Linked DNA regions of Pelodiscus sinensis. The main gene of each other region encodes a partner of the protein of the gene in region 2 in a complex. Links are inferred from orthologs where the notes say so. Each region holds a gene or a part of one and is shown on either strand. Other genes may lie near its edges.

What was found.
Region 1: the proteins of DNM1L (region 2) and MIEF2 are in contact, whole or in part, in a cryo-EM structure (PDB 5WP9), measured with the Homo sapiens proteins. The link is inferred for Pelodiscus sinensis from reciprocal best matches to the Homo sapiens genes DNM1L and MIEF2. Residues at the interface, in NP_036192.2 of Homo sapiens: Asp190, Met191, Ala192, Thr193, Ser194, Leu197, Lys198, Ile199, Arg201, Glu202, Gly223, Thr224, Asp225, Asp228, Arg233, Val234; in NP_631901.2 of Homo sapiens: Val213, Asp214, Thr215, Val216, Arg218, Arg226, Leu230, Arg235, Val245, Gly246, Tyr248.

Annotation. Positions count from the first base shown.
Region 1 is NC_134726.1:34,201,255-34,209,258, reverse strand, and holds the start of MIEF2 (mitochondrial dynamics protein MID49), read right to left. Parts: upstream 3,002-8,004; 5' UTR 2,754-3,001; intron 195-2,753; 5' UTR 188-194; coding exon 41-187; intron 1-40. Other genes in the region: FLII (protein flightless-1 homolog), read left to right, coding at 4,347-4,409, 6,696-6,806. UniProt on the Homo sapiens protein: Mitochondrial outer membrane protein involved in the regulation of mitochondrial organization.
Region 2 is NC_134711.1:105,496,788-105,504,335, forward strand, and holds the start of DNM1L (dynamin-1-like protein), read right to left. Parts: upstream 3,007-7,548; 5' UTR 2,870-3,006; coding exon 2,768-2,869; intron 1-2,767. UniProt on the Homo sapiens protein: Functions in mitochondrial and peroxisomal division.

The sequences.
Region 1 (8,004 bases), on a different chromosome or scaffold from region 2:
AAGGGACACTAGTTTATCTTCCAGAGGAACCCAGACTTACCCGTTTCACCACCAGAGTTGCGATGGCCAGCACAGCAGCACCGCCCACCCCAAGCACCAGTCTGGCATTGGCCAACAGGAAGTCAACAGCACCACCCAGCCCGTTGTCATCCCGCCTCTTCCCCCTTTTATGAACCAGCTCAGCCATGCTCCACCTGCAGAGAGAGAGAAACACACAAGGTGATGCACCTGGGGTCCAAGGTGACTTGGTGGAACCTTTGGGAACATTGAAGAGCATGGAAATTTTCCTTCCAAAACGATCTACTCGTTTGTGGAACAGCATCCCTGGGGAAGGAGCAGATGGTCCATTAGCTGCGACATTTAATCTAACTGAGACCAAGCAGGGAATGGACCTAGAAGATCTCTTTGGCCCTTTGATAGCTTCTTCACACTTACCTTCCTGGCTATACAGAATTGCATCTCCATTTCCCCCTTCGTCTTCCTTATCACGGCCTTCCCACTGAGCTCCATGCCTTCCTCCCCCCAACCTAGAACTGCCTTCAAGTTGTTAGAACAGTCTCAATAACCAACACTTGGTGATCAGAGAAGTTTTCCATTTCACACGTTTCTGCTACATTGTATCCCCCACAAATTACTGAACCCTGCCCTGTAAATGTGACAGAGACAATGACACTAAAAAAAAAGGGAGATTATTTAGTGCAACAGGGTTTTCTGACTTGTGATGGAAAATTAATTGACTGAGATGGGGCTTGAATTCAGTTTCTAGACAAGTTTGTCAGTTTGAAGTCGGTAGCCCAAGCAGGAGGCCGGGAGTTCAGAATCCAAGGTTCTCTTCCAGACCACTAGTGATACTCTGCTGTGCCACGATCAAGTCACGTGACCTCTGTGACTCTGTTTCCCCATCTGCAAGATGGGAAAAATAACCCCGTGGGTCATGAAGCTCCAGATGAAAGGACACAGGGAATTACAGAGCATCAAACGGGGCTCCCATACAAATGCACTGTGGGCACGGTGTAAGATAACTCAAGGAGCTTCAAGTCCATTCAAGGTAAAGGCACCTCACACATCCCTTTGCATGGAGATTCTGCTGCCATCAGCCAGTGAACAAAACAAGGGTGTGAACACCTCACAGCCCCAGCAATCAAGGAGCCGTCTGGTCCTACTTCCACCCAGCTTTATCCCTCCTCTCAGTTTAACAGTGCAAACTTACAATCCGTTTCTTCCCAAGCCGCTATGCATTATTCACGCACGGCCCACAGAAGAGACCACCATGCACGTCACTTCTCAGGCCAGGCGCGATTCTTCCCCACTGATGCTTGGCAGCAAATGGGCCACAGCCAAATTCTTAGACCCCTGCGGCATCGGGACAGTGCACAGTGAACACGGCAGCTCAGACTTCTAGAGTTTGAAACCCACACTTCATCTGTGTCCTTTCCTCACATGGCAGAGACCTCTCATGAGTAATGATCCCAGTATGACTCAGTTTCACCATGTCACTATGGGAACAGCTTCTTAGGGGCTACAGTCTCCGGGAATTAAGAGCTCAAAATCTACTTCCCAGCTATAGTTTCTGTTTCAGAATACACGCTCCAATGGGCAAGGACCAACAGCCCCAAGTGTGGGAAGGCTGGTTCCAGCTCCCGGGCCCTCCACGGGGCTACAGCAGCCCCTCTGTGCACATCAGGCTGCTCCCACGTACTGGGTAACCAGTTCCCCAGTCACACCTCTACTGGGAGGCATACCTATTGCCCCAGCAGGCGCTCTGGTACAGCCGCACACAACTCTCACGAGCAAGAATGCCAAGCGGGGCTGTGCTGGGAGTTCAAGCTTTCAGGTTTTTTCCAGTGAATAATGGAATGGTTTGAAATAGGCCCAACAGGGCAAAAACTGGATCAAGGAATCAACAAGGCCCTGAACATGTAACAGGCTCATCAAGGGAATTGGGTTGGAGGGTAGAAATTCGTCTATTAGTCCCTCAAACATAAACAGAGGCCAGCACCGATCCAAATTTATATTCCCATCTGCAAAACTGCTCTGCAGATATTCGCACCCACATCTGTGGATACCCATAGGTATAAAGCAAATAACGGCAAAGTAGCAGGGTTCTCGATACCAAATTTGTATCCGTATCTGCCAACAAGGAGCCATGGATAGCCGTAGATATAGTGTGGCCAGAGAGCCAAAGGGTCTCAACGCCAGATCCCAGCCGGGACTGGATACGTGCTGTCAGAAATGCCCAGCGGCCTTCTTTAGCTGGACAGGAAATAGCAAAGCTGCCCCCACCTCCCGCACCCTAACTCAACGCGCCCCATCCCCTTGTGACACCAGCCCAACCTGCGCAGCTACGGAGGAGGAACTGGACTTTGCTCTCCCCACACGTGCCCTTGCTGTAAAAAACAAAAGATAGCACGTAGACAGCGGCCTGGATCACAGAAAGCTGCCCCAGCTGTGCTCCCCCCCAGGCCCGGATCACAGGGCCCCCCTCTCAGCTGTGCCGCCCCTCACCGGGCCTGGATCACAGGGCCCCCCTCTCAGCTGTGCCGCCCTATCAAGCCTGGATTACAGGAACCCCCTCAGTTGTGCCTCCCCTACTGAACCTGGATCAGGCCCCCCAGCTGTGTCGCCCCTCCTCCGGGCCTGGATCACTGGGCCCCCGCTCTAGATTCTCACACCTCGTTAGGCTGCCCCCCAGACTAAGCCAGAGGCCCCGGGAACTCACCGACAGGTGCCGGGAGCGGCGCGGCCGCACTCACCTTGAGCAGCGAGCCCCGCTAGGTCAGGCCATGTTGCGGCGGGGGAAGGCGGGTCCCGGCAAGGCCCGGGCCCCGGGGGCTGGAACAAGCCTCGGCCGGCCCCGCGGTTACTGCAGCAGCGGCTCCCCTACGGCCGATCCCCAGCGAACGTCGGCGACAGTCACATTCGGTCGGGCCGAGGCGGCCAATAGGAGCGCCCGCCTGTTGTCCCAACGTTCCGAAATGTAACGAGAGCCTCCGGTTGCCAATTGCGCCCCGCCCCTCGCCTCGGCTTCGTCACACGTGGGCGGAGCCCGGCAATTCTTCGCCTTAAAGGCGCAGCGGGACAGAAGCAGGAAGGGGTTGAGGATGTGGTGGGGTTGGGGGTTTCGCTTAGTCCTACCCGGGTAGTAGAGGGGCCTATATGCAGAGCTGACAGAGACTCCGCGAGGGAGGGGGGACAGTGCAGAAATCCGCCCTGGACACCCCCTACCCTGTCACCACTAGGAACAGGGATCCTAAGGCAGGCATTTGCATCCTGTGGGCCTTCCTACAGCTGTCACCTGCAGGTTCCCTACCCTTTGCTTGCTTTTTTGGAGTGAGCTGCCCTGCGAATGGGAGACGGGTGTTCAGTGCAGTTTTATGGGCCCAGGATCTTCCTGGATGTTCTGGGTTTGGGGTAGCTCAGAGGTGGCAAGAGTATCTAGCCCCAATCCTGGAACAGGATCAGCCCACTGGGTTGAGTGCTGTGCAAACACAGAACCAAAAGAGGGCCCCAGCCAGCCCCCAAAAGCTTAAGATCTGAGTAGGAGACGAGGTAGCGGGTAGATACAGAGAGGGACCCCAATGAGACAGCACTGTGTTATTAATTATTAATATTTATTAATTATTGTTAATAACCTGTCTCCTCTTGTCTACATAGGCACGGGCCTGGATCACAGGGCCCCCCTTTTAGGGTCTCACCTAGACTTATGTAGCTGGGCCTATTGACTGTAATGCATTTCATTAAATGCAGACAATTAAATGCATTACAGTCAATAGGCCCAGCTACATAAGCCTAGGTGAGACCCTAAAACCTGATAACCTTCCTAGGCTCTGTAACCCTTGATGAGAGACCTACAGTGGGGTTCTAGCCCCAGTGGGCTGTCTTTGGGAAAGCCCCTTGCCTCAGTTTCCTTTGTGTGATACTGACCTTGCTTGTAAAGCCCTCTGAGATCGGCCAGAGCTGGCTGTAATTTTCCTAGCAGTTTGCCCCACTATCCTTCCCAATAGTATTAACATTCTCTCGCCCTCCCACTGTTCCAGGGGGCTCCAGGAGAACGGGGGGGGGGGTAGTAGCCCCTTAAAAGCCTTCTCAGCCGCAGGCAACAATGAAGGTAGAATGGGGCAGGTTCCCCCAGGACCACAGAAAGGGGGATTCTCCCCCCACAGGGGTGGAGGCAGGCAGCTGCGATCACGTCTCCTCCCGGAGGGGGCTGTTTAAAAGCAAAGCTCCCTGGGAGGCTTGCAGCGCCCCTGGCAAGGAAGGGGTTAAAAGAGCGAGCGCAGGCTGGGTGTCAATGCAACACGCCCTGCCCTGCCGCCGGCTGGCTGCAGCTGCTGCGGAGCGGAGCAATGGCTGCCACCGGGGTGCTCCCCTTCATCCGGGGGGTCGATCTGAGTGGGAACGACTTCAAGGTACCGCAGGCCCCCCCCCCACCCTGGGCTGGGCTGCGGGCAAAGCCCGGGGCTGGGCGACAGACAGGGAGGTGGCTGGGCAGCTCCCAGCCTCTAGGCCCTGCCTGTTTCCTGCCTGGCTAATTTTAGACAGTGGCTCAGCCCTGGCTGCACTGTGGGGCCTGACATCCCGCTGGGAGGGGGCCGAGCTGGCCTGGCCAGAGCAGGGGGGGTTGCCAGAGAGGCCGGGCAATTTCAGAGCCCCTGGTTCTGGGGGGTGATGGGCCTCCTGGCTACAGACTATGGGTCGTTTTTAAAGTTTTTCCTGTTCCAGACTCACTCGCCTGCCCCCCTGAAACATTTTTACTCAGGGCGCCCCGCACTGAAACTAATCGCATCTCCTCCTGGTCCCTGTGAGGAGGGGCAAGGATTCTGTAAATCAGCCCTTCTCCATCCGCGGCGTGGGGGACCCCAGCAGGTTTCTAGGGTCCGAGCGAGAAAGCCAAAGCTACTCTGGGTGGAGTTGAAGTTTATGGGCACCCCCGGACTGAAGTTGAAACCTGAGAAACGAAGCGTCATAGAGCCCCTAAGATGTGGGGCCGGGGCCCCTTCTTGCTGCCCCTGGCTTTTATATGCGGGAAAACAGTTGTGCTAACTAACACAGCTGGGCCATGGAGTTTGTATAGCTCTGGGGAAAGAGGCCTTGGAAGGAAAAAGATGGCGAGCTGCTGGTAGAAAATCCCTCCTAGAGCGATGAAAGGGCTTGCCCCAGGTCACGCTGGCAGAATTGGGAATGCAACCCTGCTCTGATCCCTCACTTGCTTTGCCTCCTGGGATCTATTTCCCCAGCCTAACCTCTGACCAGGGGGTGACCGTGCTGCTGGATGCTGGTGGTCCTTTGGCTATGCTCTCTGGTCAGCCTGTTTCCCTGTGCCCATCGCTTGCCCTTGGCCATGGTGGTTTTGCTGGTCTGCGTGTGACTTAAGTGACTCAGCCAACTTTGCCCGGTGCTGTGACGTGACCCACAGTTTGGGCCTGTATAATCTCCCTGTGACACTAAGGAGCTATGAGTCCATGTGCTGCACTCACGCTGACTCCTACCGTGTGTGAAACTGTAACCGGGCCAGGCAGAGAAATGAGCTCATGCCGGCCCTTGCCAGGCACCGCGTCTGAGGAGCAGGATGGCCGCTCTGCCGGCCCTGGATGGGGCATGCAGAGATGCTCCCTCCTGTGAGGTTAAAATTCAGGTTCTTCCTTTGCAATTACCCTCCCCCAGCACCGGAGCCCTCCCATGGCAGCGTTGGCAGATCTGCCCTAGAAGGCTGTTGATCCGAGGAATGGCCCTTGGGCGCGGCGCATGCCGGTGGGCCCGCGTTGGTATGGTTTGGGGTGGCGCAGGGTTTATCTCTGCGATGTGGCTGTGGGGGTTGTGAAACCTGCCGCTAAACAGGCCCTTCAAATGCAGTTGCACAATCTGGGTTAATCTTTTTGCATGGGAGAAAGGCCCTTTCCTGCAGGTGCGTGGGTCTGCCTGCCCCTCCTCTCCCTGGATGGGGAGGCTGCTAGTTAGAAACCTTCCACCAGCGGTAGCAAAACGCCTGCTAAGGCCAGGCTCGCACAGTGACCGACACTGGGGCACAACACCCTCGTGGGAGGAGCAAACTCCTGTGAATGAAGCTACACGTGTGCTTGAGCCTCGGCAGAATCGGGGCCTGCGAGTGTCCGTCCACGGGATTCATGCTGCCTCCCAGCCCCCTAATCTTGCATAACCTGCCCGACCGCTGCTCCGCTCAGGATTGGCTCCCAGGGCAGTGTGGGGGAGGCAGGGGGGCAAGAGAGGCTGCTGCCCGCGGCAGACCCAGGTTTGCTGCAGACAGAGGCTGCTCCGTAGGATGCTGGCACAGCCTCTATCCGTGGCGAGCGCAGACCCCTGCATACAGGGTCTGCTGCTGTTCTGCGCTGCTGCCTCTGATACAGAGGCAGCCATGTGGGGCGGCGGGGGGCTCCCCGGTGTGAGTCCCCAGGGACTATCAAATAATCGTGTGACCGCTAAAATGCTGCGGTTCCACGACTATTCGATTACATGGGATCTAACATCCCTAGTTACAGTAAGTCCCGCGCTGTTGGAACAGCCTGTCACATTGGTGCATTTGGCAGGGATCCCGGAAAAGGGGCCGTGGGTGGTTCCCCTCTGCGGTGTGGGGAGGGTGTTAAGAGCACAGGATCCTACCGCCCCGTCTGGATGAGAAACCCGTTTCCCTGCCCAGCGGATGCCCAGCGTGGCTCTTTCTCTCTCCCGCCTCTCAGGGTGGCTATTTTCCGGACCACGTGAAGTCCATGACCAGCTTGCGATGGCTGAAGCTGAACCGGACCGGCCTGTGCTACCTGCCAGAGGAGCTCTCTTCCCTCCAGAAACTGGTGAGAGTGGCCTGAGGCCGGCGGTGCCCAGACTGGCTGCTGGGTGCTCCTTGGGAAGCTGCCTTTGGGGCAGGGGTGCGTATAATGCAGGTGAGCGCATGGAGTCGTTGAGAGCCCGCGGCAGGCTTCAAACGGAGAGCAAAGGGGCAGGTAGACCCAGTTGAAAGCTGCCCCTACGATCATTCTACTGGCTCGTTCTTCCATGGCTTTTCATCCATGCTTCTCTCCAAGAGCTTTGCAAAGGTTCTCTCCATTCCACAGCTGGGGAAACCGAGGCACAAGGGGGCGACGTGGCTTACGCAAGCTCACTGAGTCGGCCAGTGGCCCAGCCAGGAATAAAACCCTTGTGGTTTGGACTGGTGCTCTACCTGCTACACCCACTGTCTCCTCTGCAGTGCATTCCTGCAGGTGTACACACACACACACACCCTCTCTCTTTCTTTCTCGCTCTCTAAGGACAGCCTGCAAAGGCTCTTTAAATTCCATTCCCTGTCCCCTAGAAATGCCAGGCGCATCAATCCCACTTCTTAGTTTTCCTGAGCCCTCACGACTTGGTCCAGGGGCTTGAGGGTGGAACTTTAGCAAAGACAGGGATGCTGGAATGAAACCAAGAGCGGAGTTCCCCTCGGCTGGGCGCTGCGCAGTCTGTCTCTCTCTCAGCCGCGAGGCTTTCCCTGTCTTGTGAGAAGAGGCCTGTGGTGGATTCCCCGTCACTTGAAGTCTTAATTTCAGCGGGGCATCTTTCTAGGAGATCTGTTGTCGCTCACTCAGCAGTTCTGGGCTTGCTGGGGGACCTGCTCTGGGGTCCTGGGGGGCCTGTCTCTTCTCCGGAGCTCAGATCAGGCAATCCAAAGGCCTTCGAATCAGTGCATTTGTGTCAACTTTACTAGTTCTCCGTAGAGCCTCCCTTAGTAGATCAGTTCTGAATAGCTAATGGTGCCAGCAAACTCGCTTCCTTCCTGGCCTGCTGTCTGCTATAAAGCAGCAAAAACGGTCTCCAATCCCCGTTCGTTTTTTTTTCTTCTTTATAGATCATCTTTAGCGGAAACCCTATGACCAAAGCCCCAGTGAATCCCATTGCCCGGGTGACTCCTGCAGCTAGCCTGACATCTAGGACAGCAGCGTGTGCATCCCCTCACTCCTGTGAATGGTTTCCGGATGTCGGTGTGATGACTAGGGATGTTAGACTAGTTGACTA
Region 2 (7,548 bases):
TGGGAGGAGACATGGCAGCAGAGAGAAAAAGCAGAGGTTTATAAGATACTTATTAATAACCTGGGTGATATTTATTAATAACTTATTAGTAATTACTGTTCTTATTCTTATTAGGAATTTATGCCATTAAAAAAAACCACTTTGTGGGGGAGCGTGGCAAGTCCCTTTTTTGTCTGGCGAGTAGGGTTTTCCATAATTTATCAACCCTTGGCCATTACGTTTTAAAAGGGTCACTATCTCCCCAGGTGGCTCTGCCTCTCCTCCTCCCCCCGTTTTTGAACTACCTTGGGTCACCAAGTCTTCCTGAATTGTCAAAATGGGTCCCCATCTCGAAAAGGTTGGGAACCGCTGCCCTAAAGCCTAGAGAGAGGAACAAGCTTGAAAGCCAGAGATCCTGCCTGAATCTGAATGTCTATATGTTTATTTTTAATGCTTCAGCTCAAGCTCCAGTCTGAACACACAGGCTCAGACTCACGGTCATGAGATCCTGCTTGTGATGGAGATGTACCAATCCTGCAGGTGAGTCCATGTAGCTAGATCCATGTAACACAGCTGTACCCATGGAAAGCTCCACTGAAGTCAGCAGGGATTCAAGAGTCTGTTCTAAGGATGTTAAAATGTGGTTAATTGACTAGTCAACAGGCACTTCCACACTCCTCCTTTGAAGTGTACAAGAGCCCCCGCAGGAATGCAGAACTCTGCATACAACCTGGGGCCAGAGGGAAGTCCCTCTGATTCTGGGCTGCACACAGGTGCCTGCTTTGAAATGCACAGGAGACCCCAGGGGCTCTTGTGCATATCAAATACATGGAGCCCAGAATCAGCAAGAGACTCCGAGTCCTTCGGGATCAGCGCTGCAGATTTTGGGTTCTGGAGAAATGCCACTGGGAATCCCCAGCTGATCCCAGGCTCTATGGCAGCTACCCCTTTAAAATGCCGCTTCTGGCATTTCAAAGGGGTAGCTGCTGTGGAGCCCAGGGTCAGCTGGAGACTCCCAGTTGATCCGGGCTCTGTGCAACAGCAGAACCCAGGGTCAGCTAGGGACTCCCAGCTGATCCCGGGCTCGCTGTGGCAGCGGAACCCAGGGTCAGCTGGAGAGTCCCCAACTGTGCAGCACTGCCACTTTTAAGTACCTTTCCCCCCACTGCCTCTCTCTCATAGAGGCAGCGGGGAGCAGGGGGGAATCGACTAGTCAAAAGACTATCTGATAAGTTTATCGGATAATTAACTAGTCTTTAACATTTCTAGTCTGTTCACGTAGCTATACCACAAAGTAAAGCCAAAATATATAGGCACTGCCTAATTTCTATTCCAGTTGCTATTATCATTACAGGGATATGGTCAACTTACATAGCTACGGTAAACCTTTCCTTTTTAACCCACAGAGTGCCTTAAATTACTACATAAAAATGAAAGGTTTTTAAAAATTGAATTTAGTTGGTAACTAAATATGTGCTTCACTTTCTGCATTCTTCCAAGTGTAGAAAATGAAAAAAAAAACAACAGTTCTACTACTGTTAACTCCTTTCACTTTCAGTGTCCTTGTACTCAACACTTGGGTTTCAAACACAGCTAGGGATGTGAAAGATTAAGCAAAATGCAGGACAATGTAGCACTTTAAAGACTAACAAGATGGTTTATTAGATGATGAGCTTTCGTGGGCCAGACCCACTTCCTCAGATCAAATAGTGGAAGAAAGGTTGTGACTACTTTCTTCCACTATTTGATCTGAGGAAGCGGGTCTGGCCCACGAAAGCTCATCATCTAATAAACCATCTTGTTAGTCTTTAAAGTGCTACATTGTCCTGCATTTTGCTTCAGCTACCCCAGACTAACACGGCTACATTTCTATCACTACTCAAAGATTAAGCTGTAAGCCTTGCCCTTAATGGGTGAAGCTTACTGGTGACAGGGTAAGGGATAGGGGCTGGAGCTGGGGGCTGAAGCAGCAGAGCCACAGCAGGCCCAGCTCAGGCATGCAGCAGGGGTGCTCCAGCCTGGCCAAAGAAGATGGAATAGCGGTTTGCTTCAGACCCCCCCCCCTCCTTTAACTAATTACATGGGATTTTACACCCCTACACTACACAGGAAGCTTTTTCTAAGAACTATTTCTCAGTCTGATCAGGATAACTTAGGAGCGGTCTCTAGTTTGATAACTTGCCTTAAAGAAAATGATACGCCACCCGTAAGCAGGTAGCATGCCTTGAAATAATAGTACGTTTAAAAAAAAAACAAAACCTATTAGCAGGGCTTCACTCAAACAGTCATTTGTTGCAACGGCTTTGAGCCAACCCCGGGTTGTGGTTTTTAAACCCTTGCACCCAGGGGCCATGTACCACCACAGAGTCACATACCTGCAGGGGATCTTCAACGTCCCCACGTGAGAGGAGAGCAGAGCGACGCGGGGGGGGGGGGGGGACGGACAGATGTTGCGTTAGGGGGAGGCGCCTGGCCAGCGCCGAGCTTCCTCCTACACCCCCCTTCCCAACGGCGCGCGCGGCCGCAGCAGCAGGAAGGTCAAGCCCAGGCTCGAGCGGGGGCCTAGCGGCGGGCCCGACGCGGCAGGCGGGGGGCAGCAGCGCAGTCACCTTCAGCGGGCGCCGGCCACTTCCCGCCCCCCGCCGAAAGGGGAACAGCCCTGCCGGGGCCGGGCGCTCCCCTGGGGGCGGGGCCGGGCGCCCCCGCAGGCTGGCGGGGCCCACGCGAGGCCAGCCCCCCCCATTCACTCTCTGCTGCCCTTCCCCGCGCAGGGGCCGGGCCCGCTCACCTGCGTCCCCACCACCACGATCTGCGGCAGCTGGATGATGTCGGCGCCCACGGCGTTGAACACGTCCTGCAGCTTGTTGATCACCGGGATCAGCGCCTCCATGGCGGCGGGGCGCGCGGCGGCGGCGATGAATGGAGCCCGCGGCCAACGGCTCTATCGCCTCCTGCTCCCCCCTCCCTCGGCCGCTCTCCACCACGGGCGCCGGCCCCGCGCCCAGCTCGGCCTCAGCAGGCTGTGTGCGCGCGCGCGCCGCCCGCCCTCCGCGGGTCGCGGCCGCCGCAAAGCCCGTCGGGAGTTGTAGTGCCCCGCGCCTGGCAGCGGCGCCCCCGCGTGGTTCCCAGCGGCAGCGCCGGGCGGAGCAGAGGCGAGCACCCCCTCTGCGGGAGCGGGAAAGAAATGTTACCCCCGCCGCCTCCCGCCATAGACCGCCAATCAGCAAACAGCTTCTGTGCTACCGAGCTGCTGGAGCTGCTGCGGATGGGCCCGCTCCAGGTTGCAGCACGAAGAGCCGCAAAAGCAGGTGTATAGGCAGAAAGTGCTACTCAGCGCCTGTACTGTAACAATTGGTATTAATAGGACAGGGGCACTGGAACGAAGTCGCTGGAAATCCCACGACTAACCCAACCTCTGATCCTGCTCCAGCCGTGCAGTAGGTCTCTGGTGCCATGGGTTACCCCTGGGCCCCAGGGGCCTGGTCTACCCAGAAATTAAAGATTACTTTGTTTAAAAATTATTCCTATAAGATTACAAAACGACCAGGAATTAATCCAACCCCACTATGCAACTCTACCCTGCAGTTTCTGCAGCACGTTTCTTCTCTCTATGGCAAAGCCCGTCACCATACTTACAAAATGCCCTTGTCCCTTTCCAGGGTACAGATGTTCAGTAATGGGAAAGAAAAAAATACACTACTGAAGATACCCCCTACCCCAAAAAAGTTTTCCTCAAACTGCTGCAAGACTACAACTGTGCACAACTGCAAGTTTTCTTCTGGTTGTAGGAGTTATTTTCAGTAGTCACTGAAAGAAAGTGGCACATTAGGCTACCACACAACTCAGAGACTAATGAACCCCAATCAGCACAGACAGTACAATAGAGAAATATGTACACAATGTCTCTGAAATGAACTTCTAGGAGAAAATCTGGTTGTAAAAACAAGTGCATATCTATGCTATAATTTCCATTGTTTCCACAGATGCAACTGCACCTGTTGCACATAGACTTCAGCCGTGTATAGCGCTCTATTAATACAAGTAACGAAAAATGATTACATAAGCATTACCACTGAAGCAACTTGTCTGAGAGCAAGTTGTTGCACTGGTAAAAGGACATTGACCTTGCAAGTCATCCAAGGAGGAAAAAGAGGGTAGTGAGAGGGATATGAAAGTACCATAACAGAATAAACATTAATTTTTGTAACTGTCACATTCAGATACTGGTCTAAAATTTCACCAAACCAGAAGTAAAGCTGAGGAAGTGTTCCAGCTCAGATCCATTGTACCAGGACTCATGAGGGCAACTGCTTGTCATCTTCTCTGCATCATTCTTATTCCCAGTCAGTAGGATGTATTTTCCAACTGCATTTGGATTTACTATCTTTTTATGTTTTTACAAGTGAGGCATCTATTATAGCAACATTATAACTACTGGAATTATTATTTCACAATAAAAGTTTAAGGCAAAAATGAACTAATTTTAAACCAACATTCATGGAAGAGAAAGTTAAAGCCAATGCAACTTAAGTGCAGAAAATTGTACTTGAATGACTCTACTCCGTAAGGAAAAGTCCAAAAAAGTCCAAGTTGAATATATTATTTCCAGTAATGATACAGTAATCTGCTGTGATTGTCCTATAGTGGCATCCATTAACTTTTGGAGCACAAACTCAAATATTCCTGCCAGGAAAGAACACTGAAATACTGAACCTGTGAATACAGGTCTGGCTCTGGCACACCACACAGATTCATTCTTACAGCAACCTCAGCTCAATGCTTCACACAATTCTTGGCCACTCTCCTGTTTTTTCTTTACTGGCTGAGTGGCTGACATTCCCAGTAAAGAGAAACCACATGGAACCCACCTTCCCGTTAAGCAAGAAGATAGAAAGTTTTGCATTCCAATCAGCACCCTGAATAGAAGACACCTTTGCTACAAAAGAATGGAGGCTGCTGCCATCTGAAACATATTCTCTATGGGCATGCATAAACATGGTTCTTTCAAAAAAAAAATACACCCTTTCCTATACTCATTTTTGGAGGAGTACAGGATCTTTTGAAAAAGGTTTCCACCCCCACCCTGAAAGATTCAGGTATACATAGCAGTTTCACTTTTGAAATACCCTTTTTCAAAAGAATGCTGTGATGTAATTATGCAAATGAAGCACAGGATATTTAAATTCCCACTTCATTTGCACTTTCAATCTGCCTAATCTACATCCCTCTTTTGAAAGAGGGATGTAGTTAAGACACCCTGTGGTTGCGTCTAGATTGGCATGATTTTGCGCAAATACTTTTAACGGAAAAGTTTTTCTGTTAAAAGTATTTGCGCAAGAGAGCGTTTATACTGGATTGTGCCTTTGCGCAAAAGATTTGCTTTTGTGCAAAAGCATCCATGCCAGTGTAGACGCTCTCTTGTGCAAGAAAACTCCGATGGCCATTTTAGCCATTGAGCTTTCTTGCGCAAGAAATCAACTTGGCTGTCTACACTGGCCCTCTTGCGCAAGAGGGCTTATCCCTGAGTGGGAGCGTTGGAGTATTTGCGCAAGAACCACTAATTTTGAACAGTACAAAGTCAGTATTCTTGTGCAAATACTCGCGGCCAGTGTAGACAGGCGGCAAGATTTTGCCAGTCTGGACGCATCCATTGTGTCTGTCTGTCTGCCATTGTGTCTGTCTCTTTTCTTCTATTAGTTGCATTTCTGACACTTAGTGGCTTGTGAAGATCACTGACAAGGCAGATACAGACTGTTGCAGGAGTGGGCAATAACTTTTGACCAGGAGCCACTTCAAAAATTTCTGAAATTTTTGAAGTGGCCCAGAGCTGCCCTGGAAGGGGCAGGGCCTCAGACAGACAGAGTGGGGCCCCGGCACTTCCATCCTTCCCCACCCACTTACCCTGATTGCCTCCCTATAGAACTGCCAGCTGATAACAGCTGGTGGTTCCCCCTAGGTACCTCTGCTCCTGGCCGTGGGAGGAGTCTTCACATGCTCCTCCTGATGCCCCCAGCTCAATCAGGGCCTGGGAAGGGGGAGCATATGAAGTCTCTCGTTCCCTGCCCCAGCCCTGCAAGGGAGCACCCTGCTTAGAGCCAATCACCAGCTGAGCAGCAGTTGATTTAAGTGCTGAGCCCCTTTCAGGGCAGGAGGAAACTTCACACTCTCCTTCCACCCCTAAGCCTTGATTGTTCTCAGCAGGTGGAGCGCATGAAGTCTCCTCCTGCCCTGCCAGAGTGGAGGCAGAAGGGAAGAGAAGATCTTTTGGGAACTAAAAAGACACTGGAGACATCTAACCGGAGAGGAAAATTAGGAAGGGGAGGAAAAATGAATGTAGATGGAACATGTACAGGAGGGATTAGTCAATTCATCAAAAAGAGAAAGGAAAAGGCAAACAAGGTCACAAATGTTTGTGTCACTATATTTTATTTTTGTGTCAAAGAACTGGGAGTGGGAAAAGAATTTTGTTTTGAGACATTGAAACTCTTGGTGACTCATGAGACACAGCACTTACCTCAGTCCAGTTACAGCAGAGTCCACAAGAAAATCTCAATTTGCTCTAGCTGTCTAAAATATAGATGTCATGGTCACATGCCCCCATGCTTTATGAAAACTGGTTTATAAATATGAATATGCATAACATGAACATGTGTTATGCAAAAGAGATCATGTAGCATATTTTCAAAATTGCAGTCTGCTGAGTCTGTATATCGTATTTTTGTGCGTGTATCATTCTTGTATGCGAAGCTGGAAGTCCGAAGTGTGAATCTGGTTTTAACTGTAAATGTGCTAATGAGGTCCATTAGTGATATTTCAGGTACTTAATGGCTCAGTATTCAAACCGTGACCCATAATTATTTCTTGTAAGCCCAAACACGAGGCTGATCCTAGAAAGACATGTAATCATGTCACCTCATACTGTGTAAACAATTGTCACTGATAAAAAAGGCTGACCTTATGAGCTTTCTCTGTGTAAGTTTTACACAGAGTAAGATTAAATTATTTTAGCTTTTGGTTCCTTTGTGGGGTTGGTTTCCTGGGTGCTACCAGCAGCGTTATAGCTGAGTCCTCACAGAGCTGAGCAGGTTCAGCATCTGTGGTGTTTTGAAGGGTGATTGTAACCCCCAACTCTATGCCTTGGCTGGGGGGAATCAGAGCTTCTGGCCCAGAGGGACAGGGTTGTGAGGATCCCCAGAAGGCAGGCACCAGTGGCTTGATCAGCACATTGGAGGTCAAGCTGTAATACAACCCATCACAATTAAAATTAGGTATGAACAGATTGCGCCCACGAAAGCTCATGATACCATCTACATGTTGTGTTAGTCTGTAAGGTGCTACTAGACTATTTGTTGTTTTTTACTTGTTTATTATTAGCTAATTGAAATTAATATAATGGCAATTGCCATATTGGATCAGACCCAGGGTTATCTAGTTCAGTATCTTGTCTTCAACAGTGGTACCACCAGATGCTTCAAGTGAAGAACAAAAACAAAAGCCAAACCCCAATAACTCACCTTCCCCAAAACAACTAAACAAACAGATATTAGATCATTTATCCACTACATTTGG